Linked DNA regions of Drosophila melanogaster. The gene in region 2 interacts genetically with the main gene of each other region. Each region holds a gene or a part of one and is shown on either strand. Other genes may lie near its edges. The genes, in order: Gp93, rl, tor and Nf1.

The links.
Region 1: of rl (region 2) and Gp93, changing one enhances a phenotype caused by changing the other (phenotypic enhancement), as found in Drosophila melanogaster (one study listed by BioGRID).
Region 3: of rl (region 2) and tor, changing one suppresses a phenotype caused by changing the other (phenotypic suppression), as found in Drosophila melanogaster (2 studies listed by BioGRID).
Region 4: of rl (region 2) and Nf1, changing one suppresses a phenotype caused by changing the other (phenotypic suppression), as found in Drosophila melanogaster (one study listed by BioGRID).

What each region holds. Positions count from the first base shown.
Region 1 is NT_033777.3:27,945,376-27,953,584, forward strand, and holds Gp93 (glycoprotein 93), read left to right. Parts: upstream 1-3,335; 5' UTR 3,336-3,486; coding exon 3,487-3,526; intron 3,527-3,608; coding exon 3,609-3,698; intron 3,699-3,795; coding exon 3,796-3,878; intron 3,879-3,966; coding exon 3,967-5,219; intron 5,220-5,552; coding exon 5,553-6,450; 3' UTR 6,451-6,776; downstream 6,777-8,209. Other genes in the region: mfrn (mitoferrin), read right to left, coding at 1,819-1,935; CG4951 (uncharacterized protein), read right to left, coding at 6,866-7,039, 7,100-7,307, 7,382-7,549, 7,618-7,710, 7,769-7,966, 8,123-8,209.
Region 2 is NT_033778.4:1,068,811-1,075,974, reverse strand, and holds the start of rl (rolled), read right to left. Parts: upstream 4,001-7,164; 5' UTR 3,930-4,000; exon of another isoform or gene 3,725-3,929; 5' UTR 3,694-3,724; coding exon 3,536-3,693; intron 1,704-3,535; exon of another isoform or gene 1,634-1,703; coding exon of another isoform or gene 1,611-1,633; intron 1-1,610. UniProt on the Drosophila melanogaster protein: Serine/threonine kinase which acts as an essential component of the MAP kinase signal transduction pathway to regulate proliferation, differentiation and effect cell fate decisions in various tissues.
Region 3 is NT_033778.4:7,703,314-7,711,686, reverse strand, and holds tor (torso), read left to right. Parts: upstream 1-2,502; 5' UTR 2,503-2,741; coding exon 2,742-2,894; intron 2,895-2,961; coding exon 2,962-3,192; intron 3,193-3,344; coding exon 3,345-3,582; intron 3,583-3,642; coding exon 3,643-3,725; intron 3,726-3,781; coding exon 3,782-3,950; intron 3,951-4,018; coding exon 4,019-4,324; intron 4,325-4,380; coding exon 4,381-4,716; intron 4,717-4,773; coding exon 4,774-4,945; intron 4,946-5,006; coding exon 5,007-5,505; intron 5,506-5,572; coding exon 5,573-5,667; intron 5,668-5,720; coding exon 5,721-5,843; intron 5,844-5,903; coding exon 5,904-6,041; intron 6,042-6,097; coding exon 6,098-6,271; intron 6,272-6,329; coding exon 6,330-6,384; 3' UTR 6,385-6,504; downstream 6,505-8,373. Other genes in the region: CG1941 (uncharacterized protein), read right to left, coding at 11-210, 271-612, 707-838, 894-991, 1,043-1,171; CG34216 (uncharacterized protein), read left to right, coding at 6,750-7,760. UniProt on the Drosophila melanogaster protein: Probable receptor tyrosine kinase which is required for determination of anterior and posterior terminal structures in the embryo.
Region 4 is NT_033777.3:25,981,188-25,988,320, forward strand, and holds the start of Nf1 (neurofibromin 1), read left to right. Parts: upstream 1-1,825; 5' UTR 1,826-2,104; coding exon 2,105-2,161; intron 2,162-2,404; coding exon 2,405-2,548; intron 2,549-2,647; coding exon 2,648-3,032; intron 3,033-3,087; coding exon 3,088-3,229; intron 3,230-3,285; coding exon 3,286-3,879; intron 3,880-3,940; coding exon 3,941-4,262; intron 4,263-4,324; coding exon 4,325-4,877; intron 4,878-4,931; coding exon 4,932-5,469; intron 5,470-5,524; coding exon 5,525-7,116; intron 7,117-7,133. Other genes in the region: fid (fire dancer), read left to right, coding at 1-110.

The DNA.
Region 1 (8,209 bases), on a different chromosome or scaffold from region 2:
TGCATATATATTTACATTGTGCATTTCACAATGGCAGTACTTGTTATTTTATTTACTCATTGTTTGTCCTAGATTAAACTGGTTAAAGTGGTGCGTCAGGGCTACTAACTTTGGCTATGATAATACATAAAAAAAAGGTAGATTAAGTCGAGGGTAGTTAGCCGTATAGACTCGTTGCTCGTTGCTTTTCTTCTGCAAGTCATGGTTACTCATGATATGCAATACAGAGCCCAATACAATTGTGGGGGATATCCAATATTCATTTCGCTTACTGACATTGCCAAGACCTTAGAACGTGCTCTCATCATGATTTGTGATTCAGAACTGATGGGGTGATGATTTCCGAAACTATTTCAATCTGGCTGTCGGCGAGAATCTAATTGTGCAATGTGGCAGCCGAAAAGGGAAATAATTGTTCAGAATATGCATAGATCTCATCAAAAGAAAGTTTTTCGAATTTTGTTCGTCCCATAATTGTCGAGATAAGGGCTATATAATCTGTAAACAACAGCAGGGACTAATAATTGATATCAGTGGAATATACAAATATATAATTGCATGCTTCCCGGCAAAACTTTCGCTGATTTACGAGCCAGTCACTCGGAGCCTAGAGATTTGCATTTGCCTACGTATTTAATGATTGCATATGCACATACATATATATATATATGTATGTATATATATATATATCTGTTCATACTTAATTGTACTTATTTAAAGGCGTGCCTGTCGAGCACACAAGTCGGAATTATATCTGGGAGCAGAGAGCAGCATCCATATTGTAAATTACGAAGGCCTTGGCTTTGCGATGCAGATAAGATTCACTGGAACACGGCCCAACTGCATTTATCTATCTGCCGGCTGGCTGCTGCTATCAATAACAAGTCAACAATGCCATCCAAGGTGAAAAGTAGCCCCTCGAGTGGGGGAAATCTAATTAAAGGGTTCTCTGCGACGAACTGATAGAAGTTTCCATTGCATAAAAGCCCGATAGAGCTGCGTTCGAAGAGATCGCGGAGCCAACATGATTCATTCATCCCGATGGTGTATTGTGTGTGTGCCGTGATAAGAGAACCCGGTGATAGGTAATTATTGCAAGCAAGCGGCCTCAATTGGTGTCCAATTTGGTTTTCCGCTCTCTGGCTTTTAAAACTTCACGAATTTTAGCTCGTCAAACGGACTGTGTCCAGAATCTAGATTATAACGATGACGCCGGGAATACCGACCAGGCTTTAGACTGGCAACCAACTGCCTGCCGGCTGTCACTTGCGCGATTGACACATGTGGCCACGAAAATCAATAAGTGCTCGAGCCACCAGCCAGCTGAGTGAAATACAACGAAACAAGAATCGGTCAATAATAGGTATTGAATGCGTGGTGTACATATGTACATATTTACATATAACCATATACATATGTGTATATACTTGCGGCGAACGTCATTACGAGGTGGGCATTTGCATACGCTTAAGTGGCGGACTTGTGCACTTGGTTGGCCCTACCGAATTTTCAGAAGAACGATGAGAACGCTCCGCCGATAAGAGCTAGTCCAATTACTATGGCTAATCTTATCGCGGAAGCATAAACCAATGGAACGTGCTACGATAAGCGTTCAGAGCGGCTATATGTGGCTATACCACCCAGAGCTCTTAATGAGAAACGCAACTCTTGGTTGCACTCGAGACGTGGGCAATTACATCACGATTATGCCAAAGCAGCGGCGGCACACACAAAATTCCGATTGATAGTGAGGTTAGGTCGTGTTATGTTCATGCCGCTGCTCCTCCGATTACCAGGCGGCCATGCAGTCTCTCTCACCTTGACGGAGTCCAGCGGATACATGACCACATGCTCCAGCACGCCCGCAATTGCGCCCGCCGTCATATTGACACCCACACTGGTGGTGGGCAGCGATTCGTAGTCGTCGATGTTCATGGTGGATCCGAACGGTTGCCGTCGCTTTCGATTGTTGAGGCTGCTGGTGGGGCTGCACTATCGACTGTGTTGTGTGCTAATGCTGTGGTTGCGCCCTTGCAGTCGCTGCTCCTCTTACGACAACCTGCTAATCCGGACCAGTTCTGCCAAGTCGCTGTTGCAGTTGCTGCTGCAGAGCCGCTTTCTCCGCTGGGATCGGGTCGCTCCGCCTGTCGAGGATCGGCGTTGGTTAGCGGGCAACTCTTGGCCGGCGTATGTCGGGCACTTTTGGTGCAATTTTGTTGTATAACACGGATAACACGACGATTCACGGACGCACGGGCGGGTGTATTTCGGGGGGTGGTGCTGCTGGCGGAGGCGGCGGCGGTGGCGGTGGTGGTGCAGAGTGTACGCGTGAGGTGGTCTTATGCGAAACTGCTAATTGACACTGCTGTTGCACGACTAGCATACAGACGACATAGAGACGATTCCCCGATTCAACGATTCACGCGAGGAAGCAATTTCTGGTTTAGTTGCTCGCGGCTAAGCTGCTGCTGCTGGAGTGGCGGCTGCGGATCGGTTGTTTTATGAATATATAAGAGTCGGTTTGTGGCCGAAGCGGAATTTTGGCTGGGTCGGTGTTTGGCAACTGACGCAAATGTTGTATGATTACAGCGAATCATTAAATTTCGCCCAATAAACAAGCCTCGTGCCCAGAGTGACCGCAGCGGGAACGTCGCAAAATACCAAAATGGCTCGGGTGAAAATACCAGCACAAGTCCACCCACATGTGGGTGCGGAACCTTAACGCCATGGCAAATAAAAATACCAACATTAAAATATTTAACTTAACATTGTAAAATAAACCGAACGGTACAAAATCATATGTTATATATTCTAAAACGAAATGGATTTCCTTGATCTCTGTCAGGAATTTATATTTTATTTCAATTCATATTTTTATCATTACTTTGCTATATCAATAAGTTCTCAGTTATCTATTTTGGCAGCTTAAAAATTGTATATACACGAAGTTGTTGTGCAACCGACCGAAGAATTTATTATTTTAAAGCTTAGTTGTTGTATACATGAAAAGATACTAATTTGTTTCAAATATAAATCATATATCTACCGGCCTAAGTGTTCCCTTTTGTAAACTATTGATATAAGAATGTAAATTATCAAATTAAATATATTTAACAGTAGAGTTTTGACACTACATCCTCTTGTAAACTAAATCCCAAATAGATTCTATGAATGTATGGGCTTTCAAATAAGCAAACATTAAATTTATTTAAATTACACTATTTTCGTGCTCTGTGCTGTATATATATCCTATTTCCAGTGCAGCCCCTGGTATTTCCTTCCAATGCGCTTAGAATGTTCCAGCGCCGGAATACGGTCACTCTGCGAGGCATTTAAAGGCCTTCCAGCCGCTTGTCGGCGTCAGTAAAAAAAAATCAAAGCAGGCGACGCAAGTGCGGACTAATTTATTGCATCTGTTATTCGTGACGTGGCCTTTCGCCGGACGAACCGATAGCTCGAGCTCCGTAAATCAAGCTACCAAAGATCATGAAGTACTTTTTGCTGGTGGGCCTGCTGCTCCTAGCAGGTAAGTGTGCACATTTGCCACGCCGCATTGAACCGGTGTTTTAACCTAATTATTAATTGGCGTCTGATTCGCGTCTGATTAGGCATCAATCAAATAGCCGCCGATGACGAGGCCGCCACAACGGAGACCATCGACCTTGATCTGGGCTCCTTCAAGGAGGGCTCCCGCACCGGTACGTAGACACGCCCCCCTCTCGCGACGACGAGTTTTGTTTGGTACACGTCAGCGTTGCGATAACCGCCCCCTTTTTCTAATTCCCAATCCCCCAGATGCCGAGACCCTGAAGCGCGAGGAGGAGGCCATCCAGCTGGACGGCCTGAACGTGGCGCAGCTGAAGGAAATTCGCGAGAAGGTGGGTTCATTGCCAGGTCATTTGGAAGGTACACGTATGACCGGGATTTCCTTTCCCTTTTTTCTTTGTCTTTTGTCTGTGCGTGCAGGCGAAGAAGTTTACTTTCCAAACGGAGGTCAACCGCATGATGAAGCTGATTATCAACTCGCTTTACCGCAACAAGGAGATCTTCCTGCGTGAATTGATATCCAACGCCTCCGATGCCATCGACAAGATCCGCCTATTGGCTCTGTCCAACAGCAAGGAGCTGGAAACGAATCCGGAGCTGCACATCCGCATTAAGGCCGACAAGGAGAACAAGGCGTTGCACATCATGGACTCGGGTATCGGCATGACTCACCAGGATCTGATCAATAACCTGGGTACAATTGCCAAGTCCGGCACTGCCGATTTTCTGGCCAAGATGCAGGATCCCAGCAAGTCGGAGGGACTCGATATGAACGACATGATTGGACAGTTCGGTGTGGGCTTTTACTCCGCTTTCTTGGTCGCCGATCGTGTAGTGGTGACCACCAAGCACAACGACGACAAACAGTACATCTGGGAGTCGGATGCCAACAGCTTCAGCATCACCGAGGATCCCCGTGGCGATACTCTGAAGCGAGGATCCGTGATCTCGCTGTATCTGAAGGAAGAAGCCCAGGACTTCCTGGAGGAGGACACCGTGCGCGAGCTCATCCGCAAGTACTCGCAGTTCATCAACTTCCCCATCCGCATGTGGTCCAGCAAGACCGTCGAGGAGGAGGTGCCCGTGGAGGAGGAGGCCAAGCCCGAGAAGAGCGAGGATGACGTGGAGGATGAGGACGCCAAGGTCGAGGAGGCCGAAGATGAGAAGCCCAAGACCAAAAAGGTTTCGAAGACCACCTGGGACTGGACCCTGATCAACGACAGCAAGCCCATCTGGACGCGCAAGCCCGCCGAAGTGACCGAGGATGAGTACACTAGCTTCTACAAGAGCCTGACCAAGGACTCCAGCGAGCCCCTGACCCAGACGCACTTCATCGCCGAGGGCGAGGTGACCTTCAAGAGTTTGCTCTACGTGCCCAAGGTGCAGCCATCGGAGTCCTTCAACCGCTACGGCACCAAGTCCGACAACATTAAGCTGTACGTGCGCCGTGTTTTCATCACCGACGAGTTCAACGACATGATGCCCAACTACCTGAGCTTCATTCGTGGCGTCGTCGACTCCGACGATCTGCCCCTGAACGTTTCCCGCGAAACTCTGCAGCAGCACAAGCTCATCAAGGTGATCAAGAAGAAGCTGGTCCGCAAGGTTCTCGATATGCTGAAGAAGATCGACAAGGAGGCGTATGAGAAGTTCTGGAAGGAGTTCTCCACCAAGTAAGTGTCGCTTTCTAGGAATTAAGAAACGTTCTTTGCCTGTTCAAATAATTAGTTATTTATGATAAGCATTTCCGCAGAATCCATTATAATATGGAGAATAGAATGACGTGTATTATTTTTTGCCAACAAATTAATATATTTAGTTTGTTGCTTTAAAGAATTCCGCGCTGATAAGATAAGGAAATCCACGTAGTATTATAATATTGGCACTGGTGACGTGTAGAGTTTATACTTAAATATTTTATTTTAGTTAAATAAGCATTTCCATTAGCTATAACCTCGAATTCTTGGATTTTCGTTGCTTATCAAGACTTAATTGACTCATTTCAGCATCAAATTGGGCGTGATGGAGGATCCCAGCAACCGATCGCGTCTCGCCAAGCTGCTCCGCTTCCAGACCTCCAACGGCAAGGGCGTCACCTCGCTGGCGGAGTACAAGGAGCGCATGAAGGCCAAGCAGGAGCACATCTACTACATCGCTGGTGCCAACCGCGCTGAGGTCGAGAAGTCGCCGTTCGTCGAGCGTCTGCTGAGCAAGGGATACGAGGTGCTGTATCTGGTGGAGGCCGTCGACGAGTACTGCATCTCCGCGCTGCCCGAGTTCGATGGCAAGAAGTTCCAGAACGTGGCCAAGGAGGGATTCCAGCTGAACGAGTCCGAGAAGAGCAAGAAGAACTTCGAGTCGCTAAAGAGCACCTTCGAGCCGCTGGTCAAGTGGCTGAACGATGTGGCACTCAAGGATCAGATCTCCAAGGCCCAGGTTTCCGAGCGTCTGAGCAACTCGCCATGCGCCCTCGTGGCCGGCGTCTTCGGCTGGACCGGCAACATGGAGCGTCTGGCCATGTCCAACGCCCACCAGAAGTCCGACGATCCTCAGCGCACCTACTACCTCAACCAGAAGAAAACGCTCGAGATCAATCCCAGGCATCCGCTGATGCGCGAGCTGCTGCGCCGCGTGGAGGCCGACGAGGCCGATGACACCGCCAAGGACATGGCTGTGATGATGTTCCGCACCGCCACCCTGCGGTCTGGATACATGCTCCAGGAGACTTCGCAGTTCGCCGACAGTATTGAGCAGATGATGCGCCAGACCTTGGGTGTCTCCCAAGACGAGCAGGTGGAGTTCGACGAGGAGGAGGAGGATGATGCCGAGGAGACCGCCACCGGCAGCCAGGAGAGCGGCAACGCCGATGATGAGGAGGAGGAGCAGCAGCACGACGAGCTGTAAACTACTTCACCTCACCCACTGTCCAAATAGATTGTACATAAGAGTGTGAAGTTCAGACTGAGTTTTAAACCGCCACCGGGTGGCCGGGCGGGCACTCCATCAACATTACACGCTAGATTCTAAGTAAAATAATTTCGTAGTCCTTCGCCCACGCCGTCATCACCGCCAGTCGCCCAGAGAGCACTCCACCATTTCAGCCAGCACACTTGGTTGCTCAAGCGTTTTCTTTTTTCGAAAGCAAGTGAATTATGTATTTATACAATGTAATATGCTTAGTACACAACAGATTCCAATCAAAACAAATAAAGACAAATGAATTTAAAACTAAAACAACTGCCTATTTAATATGGCGCGCAATGTAAAATTTCCGCAATCGGATACCAAAAAATAGTTAAAAAGTGAATTGATTGCTCGATCAGTCAAGATCGGAACTCAGCGGCTCATCGTTCAGGGCCCTCAAGTAGGTGTTGTACTTCATCTGGTCGCGGATCTGCTGCACGGCCTCCGATTGGGACAGCGTGTATGTGTCCATAAAGAGGCGCACTATCCACAGCGGGAGCAGTCCGTTCACCAGCAGCGACGTGTGGTTCTGGTAATCGGGACATGTTAGGATGGATATGTGTGTCACTCCAGGACGCCCCAAACTTACGCTTCGACTGCTGTAGACCTCGCCCAGTTTCTTGAGCATCTGCTGGTGAATGCTCTTGCTCAGTATGTCGATGACGTCCATGTGGGCAATGTTCATGTAGTGACTGGTGCGCGGCTTGAACTCGCGCTCCTTGAACAGCTTATCGAAGTCGCTGCGATAGTTTTCGAACGTATTCAGCACCTCGTCCTCGCCCATTTTTTCCAAGAGTCTGAGCCAATCAAAAGAACGCAAGTTGAAGGCACATTCGTGTTCGCTTTATTTGCATCTAGTCGAGTCACTTACAAAATCTTAACCTCGCGCGGCTTGGGCGTGTCCAGCATGCTGTCCAGCCGCTGCAATGCATTGAACCGCCCTCCGTCCATGTGTTCCACCTTGAAATCTTTGGCCGGCACTGGCGATACTCGTTTCACTTTGGGCTTGGGTCCTCTGCTCTTGCCGCTCCTGGTCTCGCTGAAAATGGCAGCCAGGGAAATGATGAATGAAACTGATCGCTATAGCACCATATTTCTATGGCTTACCCAACTACGAAGTTTTTGAATCGACTCGGGCGTATGGGCGATCGGCCGGAGCGGCGTGCAGGCTTGGCCTCAACGGAGCTGGATCTGGAATTCCTGCGAATAGATCAATAGGCTCTTAGTTCTCTCACATCCTAGCCTTCGCCTAACTCACTGCTGTGATGGACTGTGCGATCGCTTAATGCGGTTGCTCTGCTGCGAGGAACTGGGGCTGCTGGAAGAAGCCTTATCCTTTTCGCCTCCTTGGGAAATGGACCTGCGCTCGCTCTTGATCTTGGTTGGTTGGCTGGCCGTGGTGGAGCTCTTGTCATCCTCGTTGTCGGCGTCAATGTGCTTGGGCTTCGATTGTGTGCTGGAGGGGAAACATGCAGTGGAGAAAACATTAAAATGCATTCAACTTCGGTACATAAAATGTGAAAGGTGCAAAGGTGGTTCATAGCTATTGGGATCAAAAACCACACAATCCAAGCCTATGGAGTATTTGGGACTAATTAATAGGGTTTCCTACCCCGCTTTTGGCTTGGATCCTGAGTTTGCTACGCGGATCTTGCGGGATGTGGGTCTGGTGCCATTTGTTTCTGCTTCCGTGGCAAGC
Region 2 (7,164 bases):
TTTTAAAGGGTGGGCAAACGTTAAAAATGAATTTTAAAGGATGGGCAAACGAAATTATTTAGTTTTAAAAGGTGGGCAATCGAAATTATTTAGTTTTAAGAGTGGGCAAACGAAAAAAACAAATTTTAAAGGGTGGGCAAACGAAATAATTTATTTTTAAAGGGTGGGCAAACGTTAAAAATGAATTTCAAAGGATGGGCAAACGAAATTATTTAGTTTTAAAAGGTGGGCAATCGAAATTATTTATTTTTAAATGGTGGGCAAACGTTTTTTATTGGAAATTTTTATTTTAAAGAGGTGGGCTAACGAAATTGGGTGTATTTTAAATGTGGGCAATCGAAAAAAATTTTTGTTAAAGGTTTTTTAAAGGGTGGGCAAACGATAAAAACTAATAATAATGGTTGGGCAAACGTTTTTTGTTGATAATATTTGGTTTTAAGAGATGGGCAAACGATTTACTCTCTGATTAGACCGAGGTAAACTTAAAAGCCTTATATTTTCTAAAGTATACATTTTTTCAAAATTCTAAAGGGTGGGCAAACGTGGTCAAACGATGTTATTGCGATTTAAAAAAAAAATTTGAAAAAAACGAAATTTTTGATTTTCGAACATTTTCGAACTTTTTCGAAAATTTATATCTCAAAAACTGGACGTGGGCAAAAAAACTAATTGGTGGGCAAACATGGGCAAAAATGGGCAAACGATTCCAGCTTTCAAATTTTAAAAATTCGATTTTTCCGACCCCAGCTTCTTTGAGCTATGTTACCGTCCAATTTTTATCGAAGCAAAAATAAAGTTAAATATTATCAAAATGCTGTAGCTTACCGAATTAGAACACTATTTGAATAAAAACATCTATAATATAATAACTTTATGTTCTGCTATATGATTTAGTAGTTTGATTTTTAGCATATATGAACTAATAAGCATTGGAACAAATTTTCAACAGGCGAAAGCCTTGGATTGCTATAAGAAAGTGGACAAGAAAAAAAAAGAAGCAGCGGGTTCATTAGAAATACATTATGATTTGAAACGCTTAATGAATATAGTAAATGAATGTATAGTAAACCATGTTATTAATAACGCCACAAGAGAGCGTGAAAAAAGAGAGCATGGAGATCAATACAATTAATGTGTCCAGTCGGTGTTGAGATCAACACAGGGAACCACCACAAACTTTTGTAAACTCATTTAAGTTTAATATTACACTCACATATTTCGCGAAATATTATTTTAAAATAAACATTTATAATAATACAACGTCGTCGCAGAAATGAATTTCGTTAAACAGGACCCTGGGACAATTTTTAGGGCTTAGTAGGAATTATTTACAAAATCACTCATAATTTAAGTGGCATGCAAAGAGTAATAACTTTTGTGCTATGTAGTTAAAGAAATTACAAATAACTCTGGTGTGGAAAACAAAGATAAGAAAGAAAAGAAAGGCAAAAAAAATTGCAAAGAAAACAATTGGTGTGATATTAATCCTGATAAAGAATATATATACTTTATGTGGTCGGAAACGCTTTCTTCTGCCTGTCACATACATTTCAACGAATCTAGTAAAATACGCATGTAAAATAATTAGGAATGATATCGCTATGGAAGACCTAATAACTAAGGCAGACTCCATAGATGTTCTCCAACAGTCCCAAGATGGATTAGGTCCAAGAAATGTTCGTCATTAAGGATTTATGCACATTCTGTTAAAATAAATTAGAACAAATAATAGGATATGGTGGTGAATTCCGATTTTTTATAGCAGAACAGCGACAAATAAGGAATATATTTAAGTATTCCTTTGTACAGCCAAATAGCTATAAACTTAAAAGAAGAACTTTTTTGGACCGATTCAATGCGATCCGATTGAGGTACGTATACTCAAGAATCGAACGGACTAGCGAAATGAATAAGGTTTTGGTGCTGTAATGATCATTTAATTCCTTTGACCTCCTTTTTATTAAACCAAGCACACCCCTGCCTTATTGACAATAGTCGAAATATGATCTGAAAAACTTTAGTTTAAGGTCCAGAAGAACACTAAAATCAGCAACCAATGTTATATCAAAGACACTAGAATAACAAGATGCGTAACGGCCATACATTGGTTTGCAACTATGCAGCCACACATATGGCTCGATATCCAATTAAATAATAAGCTATAGCGTAACAAGCAACGCCAGCAAAATTAAATTTAGCCGCCGGGCTTCGAATTCCTGTCCGCCCTAAATTTCCTCACCAATACCAATACCAATCAACATCTCATAATATCTATCCACAATAAGAAACCCTCTCACCAACCACTTCCCAATTATTTAACTTATATGGATGCCCACTCACATCGGCATATCCGCCAACGAATACGCCGACAAAACAGCTAAAGATGCCCACAGATACGCCCTTGTACACTCCTCAAATTACAACTGTGACGACTTTTCTCAATTTTCCCTGGTATGAGCTCATCCTTCAAGCTACAACACTACATAACACAATAAGAAAACACAAATCCTAATAAAAAGGCTCAGGCTTGGACACACCAACCTTACCAATGCCCACTACATGAACTGACCCCTCCCCAAAATATGCTCTCTTCAGTCAATCAACCCCATTTGCTACCCACCTCAAAACTCCAACCTAATCAAAAAACATAAAACTATAATTTAAAATTAAAAGAAACTAAAAAAAAAAACAAAATGTCCGCTTTTTAAATATTTTATAAGAATATAACAAAATAATTCAACTAAATATTTTTTATTTTTAAATACTGAAAAATGAAATGTTGCCATGCCCACTCTCCGCCCAAAACTGCAACTGCAACTTTTAAAAAATGTGTTGATTTTTTATTTTTGAAAATGTAGGTTCCAAATTTACTTTTAATGAATGAATGAATAATCCCTAATTATGTCCAAAAGCATTAGAAAAAGGTATAAAGGCACCGAGTAAAAGAGTACTTTAACAAGCAAATCCAAGTTTAGCGAGAAATTGTATTGCGTTGAACAACCGATCGACCGGTAAACGAAAGTTTTGTGCGCAGCGTTTAAAAGCAAGCAATATGACTCAGAAGCTATTGACTTTCCTTTATTTATAAAGTCCATCGGCCAATTTAGGCTTTTGCATGAAAACAAACTCGGTTGTGTCGACCCTTAAAGATTGATTTTGTCAAAGAAAAAGCAAAACTAAGCCACGTTTAGAGAAAAAGAAAGAAATCAAAAATTTGAGAAACTATTTCGTTGTTAAGTGTTTCACAGCTTAGTACTGCGTATGATTGATGTGAATAAATTTAATGCATTTTCGAAAAATAACATTGATTCAGCAATACCATGTATGCGAACTTACAGCAAAGGACTTGAACAAAATGTATTACTTGATATAAAATCAAGAGAACACGGTTCTGAGTATTACTGCATTTCGGAAGGAGAACCGCAAGATAAAAAAAAAACTATGAATAATGGACAAAGGAACAACAAGAAAGAGGTGTGCAAACACTGTAGATTAAAAACGGCTTCAAAAATAAAAATAGGTATTAGGTACTTACACAACCATGCCATAAGCTCCTTCACCTATATAGGCGAGTTTAATATACCTAGGACCAACTTCAAATATTTGTCCCCTTATAACTTCAGCATTAGATTGAGGAACTTCCGTAGATCCTGTACCATTAACTACTGATCCGCTCGAATTAAATTCCTCCATGACTAACGTTTCTTCTGGAAAACTTGAAATACTACTAAAGATGTTATGATACAAAATACACCGTATCTGCAAAATTCGCAATGTATGTATGCGTGGATTGTAATAACACTTTTACAACTGAATATGTCCCACTTTATCTTATTTAAGTGAACAGCAATAAGTGCAAAATCTTTATTTACTTTATTATGAATTTAACCAAAAGTCTATAACTTAAGATATGAATATATAAACTCAACTTTTTTTTACTCTTTAGACAAATGCGTAAATATGATTTATCAAAATCGACGGCGTAAAACATTAATAATATGTTAAGATAACGACACTGGTCAATGTTTATCCGATCCAATTATAATCGGATCCCAAAAGGTACATCAGTCTTTTGGCAGCCACAATTTCCACAATTAATATTAAATAATATAATAATTTAAAAATGATCAGTCATTGCGTAAGACATTTTTTTATTTAAAAATTGGTATTAAAGGAGGAAATTGATCATCACATATTAACCTGATGTTGGGTTAAATATATTTTTGGACATTTTTCAATGGGAGCGCAGAAATAAAAACCTTTTGACTTAGTGTTATATTCCTAATTTAAGCTATTATTGCCCATTAAAATAAAACAAGAAAGCAGGCATGTGCCATCTTCTGCTGTGTGACCTAACAGATGTAAATTCAGCGTAAACGGAACTAAAAGTACTGTTCCCACCATTAAGACGTGACTACAAACCAATGTAGAATATACATATTAACACGAAAGCAGAAATTAAATGTTTAATTAAGAGAAAACAAATCCTTTAATTGCTTTTTTATTATATTATAATAAAATTTCTTAACAGCTCACTACTCAGAAGCATATACAAATGTACAGCTAACTAAATGTAGTTTGCCCACTACAGAAAATTCAGCAGTGTTGCAACGGAGGATGATTGATGATCGAACATTCTTTTTAAACAAAATACTATCAGATGTCAAAAACTTTATATTTTTACATTAAAAAATCCGAATGTACTTAAATATATTTGTTACTCTTAAGGTGATATCCGAAGTAAATGCTACGTACGCCAAGTATATAAGTTTACAGAAATCGTGAAAAATATGTCTATGACAGCTATTTATTTTATGAATTAATGAAATACCATGGTTTTAGGTATAAGTGTAGGTTTAATTTTTTTAATTAATGTAGGTTTATTTTATAACATGACCTTTTCCTTATTAACAATTTATTTCATTCTTAGAATACATTTCAGTTTAACTCGCATGACGGAGCGGGTACAAGTGTAGCACCGCAAAGAGCGACTGCAAAGCTAGCACATTGTTTAAAATGCCCAACTCAGTTGATGTCTAGTTTTAGTATATAGTTTAGTTTAGTTTGTGTATGGAGTTTTGGGATTTTGTTTAACAGCCGTCAGACTGCAAAACTTGTGTTTGGTCGGCGCTGCCGCAGTCCAGACGTCAGTCGTTGCCGTTGTTGGCGCAATAAGTTGCGCAGGAACCAGTGATTTTGATATAATTCATTTGTATTATCTATTAAAGAAGAAGTGGGTCCAACGTGAATGGACTTAGAGAGCACAGAAAGAACTTATTAAGACTCATAAATAAATTCAAATATATCTTTACTTTAAAAATTTCAACTTTAATTTCCTTTATCATTTTTCTTTTGTTCAATTTTAATTGTCAGGGAAAACAATGCTTAAGAACTTTGGTTTACCCTTGGACACAATTATTTTCAAAAATGAAGACATTCTTAAATTAAGTAATGGTGAGGTAAAATTATATGGAGGAACACAGTAAGCGTCCAACTTCGGTTGATCATCTGTCCCTGTCGAATTTCTTAACTTAACTTTGTAAATTACAGTTTGTGTTTGTTAGTTTCAAACGCTTTGGAATATAGAGATGCAAACTTTTAAGAAAACTCTAACCCCGGTTCACTAATTTCGTTCTGGAAAAGTGTTTTATGGACAGATGTAAGTTCTTTCGAGAATAACTCGTTAAAAAAAGCTGCAGCTTCACTTAAACTTATTTATTTAGGTATTAAAGGCTTGTCAAAATACTTATGCCAATACAAAAAATAATCATATTACATTAACTTGTCTATATCGTTTGTTAATTTTTATGTTTATATTACTTACACCCAACAAATAAAAAATAATCATTATTATCATATTAAGTCATTTTAAAATTTTACTGCCAACAGTGTGTGTAGTGCCGACTAGTGTGTTCTGTGACTGAGCAGAAATGTTTGGTGGCGATAGCAGCTATGCGAAATTTCAGAGATTTTAACTGATCATGTCTCGCCGATGTTGCTCACGATTTGCTCGATGGTCGTTGACATTTCAAAAATATCGTTTTAAAATTGGACATCGTAAGGGTACTTTAAACGCTGTTCCGGATTCTTTATCGCGTTAAACGAAGATGAAAAAGCAGCTGTAAGTCTGGAAGGTTTTTTTCGCTTACTTGAACTCTGAAAAATGTATGTGCCTGGATTACTAGGATTTATTAGCAAACGTTAATGCGAATAAAAACCAATAATGATAAGTATGCATTAAAACTATGTATACTCACTGAATTAGTATCAAAAGTGATATCCCAAGCGCACAATAGTCAGTTAGCTTCTTATATATATATTAGTATTAGTATACTAGGCTCGTTAAAAAGTATGTATCGGGCAGAAGGAAGCGTTTCCGACCATATAAGGGAACTATTAAAGCTAGAAGGTTCAGATTCGAGAGACATAGAGTTATACTTATGCCAATAGACGCAGCGCAAGTTTGTTGACCCATGTTGCCACGACCGCTCAAACGCCGCACAAAGCTGCCATGCCTACACTTTTGAAAAAAGTCCACTGCCATCAGCCGATTTATCAAAATAATTCCAAATAGTCGATTGCCCAATTTTAATTCGCTTATGTGTGACCATACCTTCGACATCGCTATCTTCTTCTTGCCAGGCAAGAAAAAAATTACATTACAAACCATATGATTCTAGAATGCCATGCCAGTAGGTATCACAAGGGTATCAACCACCTGGTGGTACGCGCCGTAATTGTGATACACTGCTGGAAGTGCAACTACATTCTCCAGGCGAGGGCGACTCTAAACAGGCTCTTAGTTAGGTCATGTCTCTGCTAAGAGTGCTGGCTAATCGTAGTTTGGCTGGAGCTGGCCCGGGATGGCCCTAACCGTAAGGCGCTGTGCAGGGCCAGAACGAAGTGGTATCTAAGTTACCTTCAGCAGGGCAAGTCACCTGCGGAAGCTTTGTTTTTGGCCAAGACACCGCAGCCGCTAGAGCAAAGGCCCAACTCTGCTTCGAAGCGGGCAAACTCGACCTTGACGCCTCCGACGGAAACGACTAAGAGGCAGAAGGTGGAGAAGAGCAGGCCATCGATTGCTCCTTTCGATGGCCCAAGTACCTCAAGGGCTGCAAAGGCAACATAGGTACGCAAGTCATCATATGCGGACCATTAAAGTTG
Region 3 (8,373 bases), 6.6 Mb from region 2:
GAGGACTCACCAACTTGGACAATGCGTCGACGGTTGGGCAGAAAGCCAAAGGAGTAGTTGAAGATGCCCCGGCCAACGGGAATCAGCGGAGATATCCCCGTTATCCTCTTTACAAAGTCTTGAAAGCGACGAACCCGAGAGTTCGGTGGATTGGCAACCTGATCCAGAATGTCCACCTCGCCAAAGGAAAACGTGGGAACAATCGAAGACCTAAAATGAAGACCGGATACAATTAAAAATAACTTTTAGTTGTATCCGATTTCAACCTACCCTGTCCTAATGGCCATTTTAACGAATCCCTTGCGGTTCTTCAGTGTCAATATATATTTGCCAGGGTGCGAGTCTAGTGCCTCCTGGGCACCACCCACCAGAATAGCCACCGCGTTGGAGGTGAACCCATCACGATTGTCCTTGTGCTTGGGATCGTTTGATTTGGTTAGCAGATATACTAAGGCCTCCTTGGAAACCGACACCAGGCCCCAAGATCTCAGGAGACCACGCACGATGGGCGTCAGGAAGTTTTGATCCAAAGTGGCCACCTTGGGCCTCACCTGTGGGAACAGTTGCAGCCACTTGGAGATGTCTAGACCCATATTAATGGAAATGCCAGTCCTATCAGGGTTACAATATGTGCGTAAGAAGGTATACAAATGTTTCGTCACCTAAGCAACCATCGATAAGATTGACTATCAGTCAACAAGCTTACCCCAAAATTCCGTGCGGAAAACTGGCCAAAATGTAGTTCTTATTCGGCGGCAGCTCTGCGGTCTTGACCAGCTGTACGGGAAAGTAGTCCCGATAATGCCGAAACAGCCAATTGTTGCGGTTAATTTTCCAGCTAAAATGGATTATTTTAGCTTTAAGTGTTCTTATAGGGACTTCATGACGCCTACCCATTGCCATCCATAATGGAGTGGGTTCTCTTGTGATTCGCGTAGACGTAGACCAAATAGATGACCATAATGGTGCGCCACAAAAGGCTTCCATAGAACTGGAAGGGAATGCTTTACTTTTCAAAATATTGAAGCACTGATGTATTTACCAGCACGGCAGCAACGAAGAAATAGGATCCAAAGGAGAGTATCATAAAGGATAGGATTAGGAAGGCCATGGCAAACGTCTGGCGACGCCGTTCCATGGGAACTCCTTTGGGAGCCCACTCGATTTTCATGATGTCAGAGCTCTCGAACTCGGAAAGTTGAACTACTTGGTAGCACGGTCCTCCGGCGACTGAAAAATGGAAATGTTCAATGTTTAGTTACCATTTCTTATCCTTATCAGTATCCGTCGGTGGCGCGAGTGCGTGGCTATTGGTTAGAGTTGTTAAAAAAATACCTTCGATTTAATGGCTATTCGCTTGGGGTGTTTAAAAATTCGAGCAATCAAGATAATGACTTGCTCTATATGGACGTCTGGCTAGAATGCCGATATGATATTATATGATATGATCTTATCATTGCCAACAACAGCCGGCTTTAACGTTTGTCCGATACTTGTGATCACATATATATAATTATTGTTTTGAAATTTCAATTGCAACTGGTTTGAATGCCTTTAGAAAGAGAACGAAACTGCTGTTGCACGACAACCTCCTCACTTTAATTGAATGGTGATAAAACTAACTGGGAGTTACTCGTATTGCTTTTGATCCGATCCGCTTTGGCCTAGTATCACAGGCTAATTATTTTAAACTTGTAGAGCTTTAATAAACTAGACGCTCCCATAGAAATTTATTATTAATGTTTACACACGTAATGGATCGTTATCGCGTTTGAGCAGCAGAACCGACGATGCGAGCGTACAACATTTAACTAAACTTGCGAGTGGCACTGAATGCTCGAGTTTCCCATGTGAGTGTTTCGAGTACTCGAATGCGATGCAACAATTGAGTCACCAATGTAATCGAGCGTTCTATACGAATAACCTGAATCAGAGGCAACTGAGGTCATGTGCATTTGCAAGTCGCTATAAGGAAATACCTGTATTGTCAGCTCTGTTCCAATTGAAATGGAATCAGGGAAAGTGTGATCACGCAAAAGCTACAATGTGGGCGAAATTAGCATAGTTGTTTTTTGGTTAATTTCGAATATTGGCGCCCAACATGGTTTCTAGGGATGGAAGCGACCAGCACTGCATTCTGATTTATCGGTTTGCTGCAATACAAGCTCTTTTGGCGCAACAGATCATAGAAGATTGAAATACAAACGTTGTTGGTGGTATCACAAATGAAAATTGCGAAGAGTTATCTGAAGTCAATGTTCTATGCTTATCCCAAGCCCTGGCGCTACTATGACGGAGTAGCGATCCAAATTTTTGCATTTCAAATGACCCCTAGTCCAATCCCATCCATACGATCAAGTACAATACGATGCAGTGAAGAGGTGAAAAACAAATCAAAACAAAATAGCGCAAAATATATTCAACGAGTCCGCCGCTTCTCATCATTCCTCCTTCTTCGTCGCTTTTTTACCATCGCATTTTTGGCCTCAGTTTCTCAGTTCTTTCTCAGTTCAGCAAGATAATCCGAGAAGGACGGATGGTATTGATCTCGAAAGTTGGAATCTAGAAACTAAGTATTCGAATTTGCTGTGTGTGTTATTGAGTTTTGTATCAAAGTGCGTGGTGGCAAAAGTGCAATAAACTTTAAGTCGGTTTTAAACAAATACACATTTCATTCCAACACACACACACCGACACACAACGAAGAACTAAAGAAGGGTTTCAAAAGCAGAACAAGGAAAATGCTTATTTTCTACGCGAAGTACGCATTTATCTTCTGGTTTTTCGTGGGAAGCAATCAAGGTGAAATGTTGCTAATGGACAAAATCTCTCACGATAAGACGCTTCTCAACGTCACCGCTTGCACCCAGAATTGTCTGGAAAAGGGCCAGATGGTATGTTTACACCCTTAGAATGTTGGAACACTCCATAACCAAAAGTGCATGCTTCTTTTCTCGACAGGATTTCCGAAGCTGTTTAAAGGACTGCAGGATTAATGGAACATTTCCCGGGGCTCTGCGCAAGGTGCAGGAAAACTACCAGATGAACATGATCTGCCGCACGGAGTCGGAAATCGTTTTCCAAATAGATTGGGTGCAGCACAGCAGGGGAACCGAGCCGGCTCCAAATGCCACCTACATAATCCGGGTGGATGCTGTCAAGGACGACAACAAAGAAACTGCGCTTTACCTGGTCAGATATTAGATGTAAACTCATTACTATTTACTTTAAAATACCATTTTATTTGATGAATTTCTAGAAAAAGATGTACTATGTAGTCATCAAGACCTAATGTTTCGTTTTACAAGTGGATCGCTCTTTTTCATCGACTTATTCGCTTGCAGTCTGATGACAACTTTCTCATCCTGCCGGGATTGGAGTCCAACTCTACCCACAACATCACCGCCCTGGCGATGCACGGAGATGGCAGCTACTCCTTGATAGCAAAGGACCAGACCTTCGCCACCCTCATCCGAGGCTATCAGCCCAGCAAAATGGGAGCGGTGAATCTGCTGCGGTTTGTCCCCCAACCAGACGACCTGCATCACATTGCTGCCGAAATCGAGTGGAAGCCATCGGCGGGTAAGTAGCTCCATCAGTTTAATCAATCAACGATCTACGAACCCTACTTTCATATTCCAGAGAGCAACTGCTATTTCGACATGGTGTCGTATTCAACCAACAGCGTGAATATGGACGAGCCACTGGAGGTGCAGTTCCGGGATGTGAGTATGCCATGACGCCCCTGCAATGCTAGAGCATAGCTAATCTTTTACTGCAGCGCAAAAAGCTGTACAGGCACACGGTGGACAACTTGGAGTTTGACAAACAGTATCACGTTGGCGTAAGAACGGTGAACATAATGAATCGACTGGAGAGCGATCTGCAGTGGCTGCCAATCGCTGTTCCAAGCTGCTTGGATTGGTATCCCTATAACTACACACTCTGCCGTAGGTTCCTCGAAAGTCCTATATAATAATAATATTAATAATAATAATATTGTTCCACCCTTTCATAGCACCCCATAAGCCAGAGAATCTTACTGTGACCCAGAAGCAGTATCTGCCAAATATTTTGGCCCTGAACATCACCTGGGCGCGTCCCAGATACCTGCCGGATAACTATACACTTCACATCTTTGATCTATTCAAAGGAGGTACGGAGCTAAACTATACACTTGACCAAAACAGGAGCCACTTCTATGTACCCAAGATCACGGTACTGGGTTCCCATTTCGAAGTACATTTGGTGGCCCAGTCGGCAGGCGGAAAAAACGTATCCGGTTTGACGTTGGACAAGGTTCATCGAGGTGTGTTGCTGAGCGGTACGTACGCTGAAGGAAATTAAATATTTAGACATCCATTTCCATCCATTGAACAGAGGGCAACATGGTCAAGTTGGTACTCTTTATTATCGTGCCCATATGCTGCATTTTGATGCTGTGCTCCCTGACGTTCTGCAGACGAAATCGTTCGGAGGTTCAGGCGCTGCAAATGGACGCTAAGGACGCGAAGGCCAGTGAATTTCATCTCTCCCTGATGGACAGCAGTGGCCTGCTGGTCACCCTCTCGGCCAACGAGAGTCTGGAAGTAATGGACGAGCTGGAGGTGGAGCCACACTCGGTGCTCCTTCAGGATGTCCTCGGCGAAGGAGCCTTTGGCTTGGTGCGACGTGGAGTTTACAAGAAACGCCAAGTGGCCGTCAAGTTGCTGAAAGGTTGTACCATTTGGTATTGAAGTTCTTGAATAATTCATGGAATTTTTGTTCTCACAGATGAACCAAACGACGAGGACGTATATGCGTTCAAGTGCGAAATTCAGATGCTCAAGGCCGTGGGCAAGCATCCAAATATTGTGGGTATCGTGGGATACTCCACTCGTTTTAGCAACCAGATGATGTTGCTAATTGAATACTGCAGCCTTGGAAGCCTGCAGAACTTTTTACGGTAAGTTATTTTTATACATATTGGAAAACAAGTGATGTATAGTAAAAAATGTATTACTTAGTGAGGAGTGGAAGTTCAGGCAGGAGCAAAATGCAATTGGACTTAAGAAGAACCTTGAACAGAACGTGGACAACCGACGGTTTAACCGACTCCCTAGAAATTCCATCCATGATCGCATAGAGGATATCAACAACTCGATGCTGTCCACTGTGGAAGAGGAGAGTGAATCGGATCAGACACACTCAAGTCGATGTGAGACCTACACCCTCACTCGAATAACCAATGCAGCCGACAACAAGGGCTATGGCCTGGAGGACATTGAAAACATCGGTGGGAGTTACATTCCCAAAACCGCTGAAGCTCCAAAGGATCGGCCAAAACGGAAGCTGAAGCCGCAGCCCAAGAAAGACTCGAAGCAGGATTTCAAATCGGACAACAAGAAGCGAATCTTTGAGAACAAGGAATACTTTGATTGCCTCGACTCATCGGATACCAAGCCCCGAATACCACTGAAATATGCAGATTTGCTAGACATCGCCCAACAGGTGGCGGTGGGAATGGTAGCCTACATCTACTCTATCCCTAAATGTAATTAAAAAGTGTAGCATGTATCATTTGCCATTTTAGGAATTTCTGGCCCAAAACAAAGTAGTGCATAGGGATCTGGCTGCCCGGAATGTTCTAATCTCCGTAGATCGCAGCATCAAGATAGCAGATTTTGGGTGGGTATCTCTGAAAGTTCAATGATTAGTTATATTGTGTTTTTTTTTTTAAGGCTGAGTCGAGATGTGTATCATGAGAACGTGTACCGAAAGTCCGGAGGAAGTGGCAAGCTGCCCATCAAGTGGCTCGCGCTGGAGTCCCTCACCCACCAGGTGTACACCAGTCAGAGCGATGTGTAAGTATATATTTTTGTTAAGTCCGAAGCGATTTTGTGGCTGATATCTTACCCTCTTAGTTGGTCCTTTGGTGTGCTGCTCTATGAGATCACCACTCTCGGTGGAATGCCATATCCGTCGGTGTCTCCCAGTGATCTCTTGCAGCTACTGCGACAAGGTCATCGGATGAAGCGACCGGAGGGATGTACGCAAGAAATGTGGGTATCAGTGCTTAGCGAAGTACATAATTGTTGATCACATTTGCTTAACTCAGGTTTTCCCTGATGGAAAGCTGCTGGAGCTCCGTGCCATCACACAGGCCAACATTTTCCGCCCTTAAACACAGACTTGGTGGCATGATTTTGGCCACTAACGATGTTCCAGAAAGGCTGAAACAACTGCAAGCTGCAACCGAGTCAAAATTAAAGTCATGTGACGGTCTAAACAGGTAAGTAATCTTTAAAAAGACAATTGTATACGTTACTTTCTTACCTTTTACAATTTAGTAAAGTGGAGCAAGTGCCATGCGAGGAAGAGCTATACCTAGAACCTTTGAATTAATAGTCATTGCTTCAAGATTATAATGAACGAGTGCAATACATTCTAAATTCGAGTTCCAATTCAGACAATGCTATGCGCCAGATAACCTTGCATAGCAATAAACATTAAAGCTAGCCTAAGAAAAATTTAATTTCTTTTTTATAAGAAAAACCAAGATATTTATAGAGTAAACTTCTAGCAGTGCCCTTTATGTCTCATAGAAACCGACCATTTCAAAATGTTTGTGCCTCCTTGCGGCTTAGGTTTCGAAAGAAGGTCGTTTATTTGGACCCCAATCAGCATCATTTTTGAAAATTCCAAATTGAAAGTCGGTCCAAGCTGGCTTGTTTACAGTGTTTCAATTCTACTTCTGGCCACCTCGATCGATGTGCATCCACTGCTGTCGCCTCCGCCGGACACCATGTCCACCGATTCCCTACAGCTGTCCACACTGCCCGGTGCGCACCATCTCCAGCTGCTGTCCACTGGGCAGTCGGCCCCTCGCCGAGAATCCTTTCATAAGAGGTCCGGATCGGGAGCCAACCCCCGATCCCTGCGACACCTTGCCACCGCGCTGGCTGGACCTCAATCGACGGGTCATATTTGCCTTGGCAAAAAGATTATGTCGATCTCCAGAGGCAGCTCATTATATTTTGCTTCGCCTGTTGTATGCCAACTATAGAAAAGTGATGATGATATCCAGAAAACGAAGGAGATACAAGGTGCCACTAAGTGGGTTTCCCGATCAGGATTTGTTCTCCGCCAGCGCACATTTCGATAGCAATGGTTACCTCTCCGATCCCATGGCTCCCGAAACTCTGGGAAAGCTACTCCACATGATGCAGGACTACATCCTTCGGCTGAGAGCGCTGAATCGCAAGTACAAGTGGTGTGGCAACGGCGAGGACTTTGGAGATGTATTGCTCCTATTGGGAGAGCAAGACGAACTGGTACGATTGTTAAGAGATCTCTTTGGAGACAGCGATGTTGTGTCCATTCCAAAGCTCCTGAGCGCCCTTAGCGAGCTGGAAATCAATAATTTATACGGAAAGTACAAGAAGAAAACAGTTCCCTTTATGGTGAGAAGTATATCTGATCTCTACTCCGAAGTGACGGAACCAAAGAGTCCAGTTTTGATATCATTAGCGCACATAGCCAACAAAGGAGTTTCCCCTTATGGACCGAGCCACTTGAAAAACATCTTGAATTTCAGTCCAAAGTCCTTGCCTATGATGGGTAAACACCCACCGCCTAAAAGAAGTAAAAGTGAAAAATGCATTCCAACATCAAAAACGAATTTAACCCAAGCAGTACAAAATACCCAAAAAAAATCGAATTTCAAGGAACCAGCAGACAGTACTGGGATTTTAAGTCCAACTTCCAAGAACTTACAATAAGATATCACAGCAAAGCCACTTCAACCAAACCAAAGGAACCTTCTATGAACCCTTTGACGCCCAGAAGAACTCCATCTGGAGTTCCTCCACCACGCAGACTCACATCGATTAATGACGAATGGTCGGATTGCGGGTCTATTACTATAAAAATCTGGATGACCAACTGAGGTGATCTACGCAATCCTATCATGGCAGTACCCAGCATTATGATCTTAACAGCAGTACACAGGAAATCTTTAGGCAACTCAACGCAGTCAAGCAATGAATATGGCAGCTTAACCAAGATGTTTTTATTGGAGCAGTTGTCCGATCCGTTGGTTGAGCTGGAAAAACGGGTGGACTTATTCCTATCGTATCTTCTATGAATGACGAAACAAACCTATGATTCAACTTAAACGAAATAAAGAAACGAAAAAAAAGCACGTCAGCTTGTTTAACCTTTATTATATTTACCTAAGCCTTAAGTAAACCTTAAATTTCCGTGAGCTGTATCTATGCAAAATCACTTAAGCGTTTCAACTGCAAGTTTGAGGGCACGAAGGTCATGCGCTTGATTAGTCAGCGATTGGACAGAGCCAACTATTCAGAAAATTGGCAACGTTAATAGGAAACA
Region 4 (7,133 bases), on a different chromosome or scaffold from region 2:
TGGACGCACTGATCAACCACCATGTGGCCAGCCTGCACATCGTTAGCTCCTACTACGAGCGGGCCAGCTGGTGTGTGGTGGCCGAGAAGGTTCAGGTGTGGACCATCTAAGCACCCAACTCTCAAACGGGGATTCGAAACGAAACTTAAGTTTATTTGCTATTACTGGGACCGAAGCATGTATACCAAATATTTAAAGGATATACGTTAAATTACTTTGAATTACATTTTTTTATACGCATCTAATACATTTTAAGTTGCTCTACAAAAACACTTGAATATCTTTTTAGGACATTCAAAATCCAAGCAGCTTTTTTGATTTTTTCAAGGCGTACCCGTTTACCCGTTTGAATCCCTGATCTAAAACAAATGCCCATTTCCTAGCTGTAGTCTCTGATCTGATGCCCCCAAAGGAATTGTTAAATTTAGTCTATTACTCTAGTCGGCTGGCGGTGCGGGGCGGGGAAGGCCCGTCCTGCTATCCAGCACTAATTTATTGTTAGCAGGCCTGCTCAAGGACGCGAACGCAGGATTGCACTGCATTGAAATCCAATTTCAAAGGAAAACTTAGCTGTAAGAACGAAACCAATCGAATCGAATGCGATAACGAAACAACGCAAGCTAAATACAAATCTTACTAGTTATACGAGCATATTCTATTTACAACGATCATCTGTTTGTATCTTGCGCTATCTGCAGACTAAGTTTCAAGCACTTTATGCTATAATTTCGAAGCGAATAATCATCAAACGTCCATTGCAGCCAACATATACCACTTATACAAGAGAAAATCAAGATACCAGTTAAGCAGCTAGAACAAAGTAATATAGCAACTATGTACGTGCATGTATACACTCCTTAAAACTGCAAAGTTAATAGAACCCTCTAAAAATATCAATAACTGCATTTAAATCTATGAGAAAACCGTACATATATCGAATGCAAAGTAAAATCAAAAATATATACACAAAACAGTTTAAGAAACTCTTTCCGCAAGCTCACAATTTTCCACATATATAAATTTTTCACCTTTTTAAAGCACTTTTTTATTTACTTTAATTGATTGGATAAAGTACCCAACTCACTTCCCAAAAACGGCCAATAAGACGATTGTAACATAAGCCTATGCCTAAACTCAAATTTTTGTCAGCTTAAGAAGGGTTATTTGAAAAATAACGCAAACATTTTCAATAAAACCAAATATATACATATATATACCTATATGCGACTGTACATGTGTTTTTTAGCTAGCTAAACTAACTTTATACCGTAAAATAATAGAACAATTGAATAAATATTAACTAACGTTGGACGCAACACTAAATTACAACAGATAGAACTCGATTTGAACCTATTACTGCTCGAAATGCTGAAACATTATAAACATTAAGTATTGCTGGAAAATATGTATAATTTGCACAGAGCCAAACAGGCACACTCAAACGGAATTAACTCAAAACCCAAGCTACAAAACCATCTGAAATATTTAATATTGATAATTTGTAATGCATTAACAACAACATTAAATAAACTAATAATACTTACTGAACTGAATCTGTTTTAAAAATCATTTATATTTCTAATTGGAACACTTAGACCATATAAAATAATAGCATCAAATGAGATAGAACGAAATGAAGGCCAAATATTTTTGGAATTTTTAAACGCTCCTGTGAGCGCGCGCATTTACTTGTGGCTTATGGTCACCCTAATGAATTCAGTACTAGTTGGTCTGATGCCATCACTATTTGAAAATAAGCGATATATCGATAGGATGTAATTGTTATCACTTATAAAAGCGTTTCGGTATTGTGAAAGAAATGGAAGGCGGTACACACACAATATAAACATCCAAATAACAGCCTGTAAGCCCTTAGAAAATTCCCATAAAAAAAGAAACAGTGCCCGTTTTGTAAAGCCAAACCATCCAAATTGTTGGAAGAGAAGGAAGTGAACGTCTCAGGAACTGAAAAAAACACCAAGGATAACGAACAAAGATGCCACTCAACCAATTGCCACTCCCCAAGCTCAACGAAAAGCTGCCCTATTTAGTTGCTGAAATGCAGTAAAAAACGCATAAACAACTGTTAAAACACCACAACAAGATGACCCAGAAGCCAGGCGAGTGGGCTAGCGCCCTTTTGGCACGTTTCGAGGATCAGGCAAGTGTTTTCCAATCGCTTTTCCGCAGTTGCGTTTTCGCAAGCGAAAAAATGTACCTGCTGCTCTGCCTCTTCCTCCCCCACACATGCTCACAGCGACCTTGCGAGTGTGCGTGCCTCACCCGCTCTGTCAGTGTGAGCTCTCAATCAAATGCGTGGGAGAGCGAGATAGCAACAATAACAAAAACACCGGTTCCCGCATGAATGAAGTGGAATTGAGCAATCAATGGTTTACTTTTTCAGCTGCCAAACAGAATCGGTGCCTATGGCACGCAGGCCAGGATGAGCCAGGACCAATTGGTGGCCTGTCTGATCCACATATCGCGCTACCGCTTCTCCCTTGTCATATCCGGTCTCACCAAGATGCTGCAGAGGGTCAATGAGGCGGTAAGTACTCCATTCTCTATTGTTAACCCTTAAACTATGTTGCCTTATTTTATGGGGCTAGGATACGATTAAATTACTTAAACAAAAATTTCATTGCAGGCCCTTCAAAATCGCCATGAGCCAGAGCGTTGCTACTTTGAGTCGCTGGTCATCATACTGACCACTCTGGAACGCTGTCTGACCAACCAGACCAAGGACACAGCACGTTTTGAAGAGGCCATGAATGTGAAGCTTCTGCTGCGCGAGATCTCCCAGTTTGTCGACGTCCAGAGCGACAGCAATCCGAATGCCGCCCAGCTCAAGGCCCTGGCATCCAAGGTGCTCTTTGCCTTGTCCCAGAATCACTTCTCGGCGGTGTTCAATCGCATATCGGCCAGGATTCAAGAGCTGACATCCTGTTCCGAGGAAAACCCGGACTACAACGACATAGAATTAATTCAACACATCGATATGGATATGATAAAGCTAACCAAGCTGCTACAAGGTAAACTAACTTTTTTAATATTTCGGAAAGGTTAAACAACGTTTTACGTTTCCAGAAACCATCACAAAGTTTCGATCGAAGCGTGCTCCACCTTTGATCTTGCTTTACTCGCTGGAGAAGGCTATTTGGAACTGGATCGAGTACCATCCACAAGAGTTCCAGGACTTGCAACGAGGAACCAATCGAGATATATCAACGTAAGAGGAATTACAAGCGTTTTTAAAGTCACATTAATTGATCCTGTTTCGTTTAGCTGCTGGGAACCCCTGATGGACTTTGTAGAGTACTTTAAAACCGAAAACAAGAAAAGCAAGACTCTTGTTTGGCCGCTTCAAATGCTCTTGCTGATATTGAATCCCTCTTGCCTTGAGGCTGTTGTTAACGAACTTCAGCAGTCGGAGAAAGAGAAGGAAAAGGACAAGGAAAAGGTTGCCTCGAAGTCAGCGCAATCCACGTCCCGGGACAAGGACTTCTCGGCCAAGCAGTTCATCGAGAGTATCAAGAGAGGCTTGGGCCAGCACTCACCATCCAAACAGGTGACCGAATCTGCGGCAATTGCCTGTGTAAAGCTGTGCAAAGCATCCACCTACATCAACAACACCGACTCCAATAATGTGGTCTTCAAGTTGGTGCAATTCTTTATCAACGATCTCAAGGCACTGCTCTTTAATCCAGCAAAGCCCTTTTCGCGCGGTCAGGGGTACAACTTCGCTGATATCGAGCTGATGATTGACTGCTGGGTGTCTTGTTTCCGGATTAATCCTCACAACATCGAGGCTCTAAAGGTTTGCCTGAATTTGTCCTCGCCGCAGGCTTACCATTTTGTAATTGTGTGCTCTCTGCTAAGGTAATTTACTTGGGTAGCTATATAAAACTCTTGACTTTTACATGTATACTTTCCATTATAGGTTGGCTCACATATACGTTGACTTCCGTTTGCAGAACAAGAACCCCTTTCGAATAGTAAACCAACCGAGATTGTCTTGGTGGCCGCAAACGGATGTGGTTCACTACCGTTCTGCTGAGCTACGAGCTTTGTTTACGGATACGCTCAACAAGGCCACCCAGGGTTATATAGCCCATACGCCACTGCGCTACATAACCTCCCTGACGCTCAAATCTAAAGATACCCAGAAAGGTTTAACCCGCGCTGAAGAGGGTCCCGCCCACAAAATGCTATTACTGCTACTCGTACGGCTAATTCATGCAGATCCCACGCTTTTGTTGAATGTGAGTTATTTGATAATTTGATCGATAATAGTCTCATATTTAACAATTGTTTTGTAATATAGACCCAAGGAAAAGTGGCACATGAAGTGCAGAGCTCCACATTGGAGCTCATCAACGGCTTAGTTAGTTTGGTGCATCAAACTACCATGCCCGATGTGGCACAAGAGGCTATGGAGGCGCTGCTTGCTCTGCACGCCCCGGAGAAAATAGAGGTTTGGAATCCAGAGGCTCCGATCAATACGTTCTGGGACGTTAGCTCCCAAGTACTGTTTTCAATCTCGCAAAAGCTCATTCAACACCAAATTGCCAATTACACTGATGTCTTAAAGTGGCTACGCGAGATCCTCATCTGTCGGAATACTTTTCTTCAGCGACACAAGGATTATGCACATGTGGGAAGTCAGATTGCCATTTGCAAGCAGGCTCACATTAAGATGGAAGTTGTTTTCTTCATGTACCTGTGGAGTGTTGATTTAGATGCGGTGCTGACATCGCTATCGTGTTTTGGACTACTATGCGAGGAGGCTGAGATTTGCTGCAGTTCTGATGAATTGACAGTCGGATTTATTATGCCGAATTACCACATTTACCAGGAGCTGGCTCAGTTGTCCACATGTGAGTTTGGTAAATTCATCATACATATTTTTATTAATAATAATTTCGTTTTAGCTGCAACGGACTCTCGCATTTGCTTTTTTGACAACACGCACGGCAATGTGCTGAGCCGTCTTACACTTCAAAAGCGCATAATGACCCTATTGCGCAAGATCGAGCACTGTGTTCATGGTGTTCAGCCCGCCTGGGAGGAAACCTTCCGCAACTGGGAAGTATCCAGCAAGGTTTTGCAAACGTACCCCAAATGTAAAGGAGAAGATGGCCAAGCGGAGGTTTTCCATCGTGGCATGGGCAAGCGGCGAGCGAGTCACCAAAGCTCAGAGCACGATTTGGAGGAACAAATTAATGAATGGGCCAATATGACATGGTTTCTATTAGCCTTGGGTGGCGTCTGCCTTCATAAACGTAGCAGCAGTCGTCAAATGCTGCTGCAGCAATCACAGAACAATGCTTCTTTGGGATCACTTGCTCAAAACTCTCTTTACTCAAGCTCCACAAGTTCTGGACATGGCTCTCTGCATCCTAGCACGGTTTCACTATCCACTCTTCCCCCAGCACCGCCACAAGATGTCAGCTATTGTCCTGTAACACAGTAAGGTTTTATTTATTTTAACATGTCCCATATATAACCTATAACTTTAATTTAGATTCGTGGGCCAACTATTGCGCCTGTTAGTTTGCAGCAACGAAAAAATTGGACTTAATATTCAGAAAAATGTGAAGGAACTGGTGGGCGAGGAGATGTCCACCCAACTGTATCCTATACTCTTCGACCAGGTTAGAGCCATCGTGGAGAAGTTCTTCGATCAGCAAGGTCAGGTGAACGTCAATGTGACCGACATCAACACGCAGTTTATCGAGCACACCATCTACATAATGAAATCAATTCTGGATCCCAAAGCCAACAAGGATCCCAACAACGATCAACCCTCGCCATCGGAACATTTAGGTGTTACAAGCATCGAAGGCATGATGCTAGGAATAGTGCGCTACGTTCGCCACCTGGATATGACTGTTTATGCCATTCGAATCAAGACAAAATTGTGCCAGCTTGTGGAAGTAATGATGAAGCGACGCGACGACCTCGCCTTTCGCCAGGAGATGAAGTTCCGGAATAAACTGGTTGAATACTTGACCGACTGGGTGATGGGCACCTCCCATCAGATTGCACCGCCCAGCTCGGCGGATGCCGCTATTCTTACCAACACATCCCTCATATTTCGCGATCTAGACCAAGCCTGCATGGAGGCAGTGGCTGCCTTGCTTCGGGGCCTTCCCCTTCAGCCTGAGGAATCGGATCGAGGCGATTTGATGGATGCAAAGAGTGCGCTCTTTTTAAAGTACTTTACCCTATTTATGAACCTGCTGAATGATTGCATCGATAGCTCCGAGGCGGAGAAGGAAATGAATAATACCCCACTATTGCCTCCGCGCCCTCGAATGGCAGCTGGAAAACTGACCGCTCTGCGAAATGCCACTATTCTAGCCATGTCTAATTTGTTGGGTGCCAACATTGACTCTGGTTTGATGCACTCCATCGATCTGGGTTATAATCCTGATTTGCAAACGCGTGCCGCTTTCATGGAGGTGTTGACTCAAATCCTGCAACAAGGCACCGAATTCGATACCTTGGCCGAAACTGTTTTAGCTGATCGATTTGAGCAACTGGTCCAACTTGTTACAATGATCAGCGACAAAGGAGAACTTCCCATAGCAATGGCTTTGGCTAATGTGGTGACTACATCCCAAATGGACGAGCTGGCTAGGGTTCTGGTCACCCTATTCGACGCCAAACACCTGTTATCGCCACTCCTATGGAATATGTTTTATCGCGAGGTGGAGGTCTCAGACTGCATGCAGACACTTTTCCGTGGAAATTCTTTGGGCAGCAAAATCATGGCCTTTTGCTTTAAAATATACGGCGCGAGCTATCTCCAAATGCTACTAGAGCCTTTAATTCGTCCGCTTCTGGATGAGGAGGAGGAGACCTGTTTTGAGGTGGATCCAGCTCGTCTGGATCCAACAGAAGATATTGAACAGCACAGGAACAACTTGATTGCCCTAACGCAGAAGGTGTTTGACGCTATTATCAACTCGTCGGATCGCTTTCCCCCGCAGCTGCGATCCATGTGCCATTGCCTGTACCAAGTGCTAAGCAAACGCTTCCCGAATCTTCTTCAAAACAATATCGGTGCTGTAGGCACAGTCATCTTCTTGCGGTTCATCAATCCCGCCATAGGTAAGATTATAGAAAAA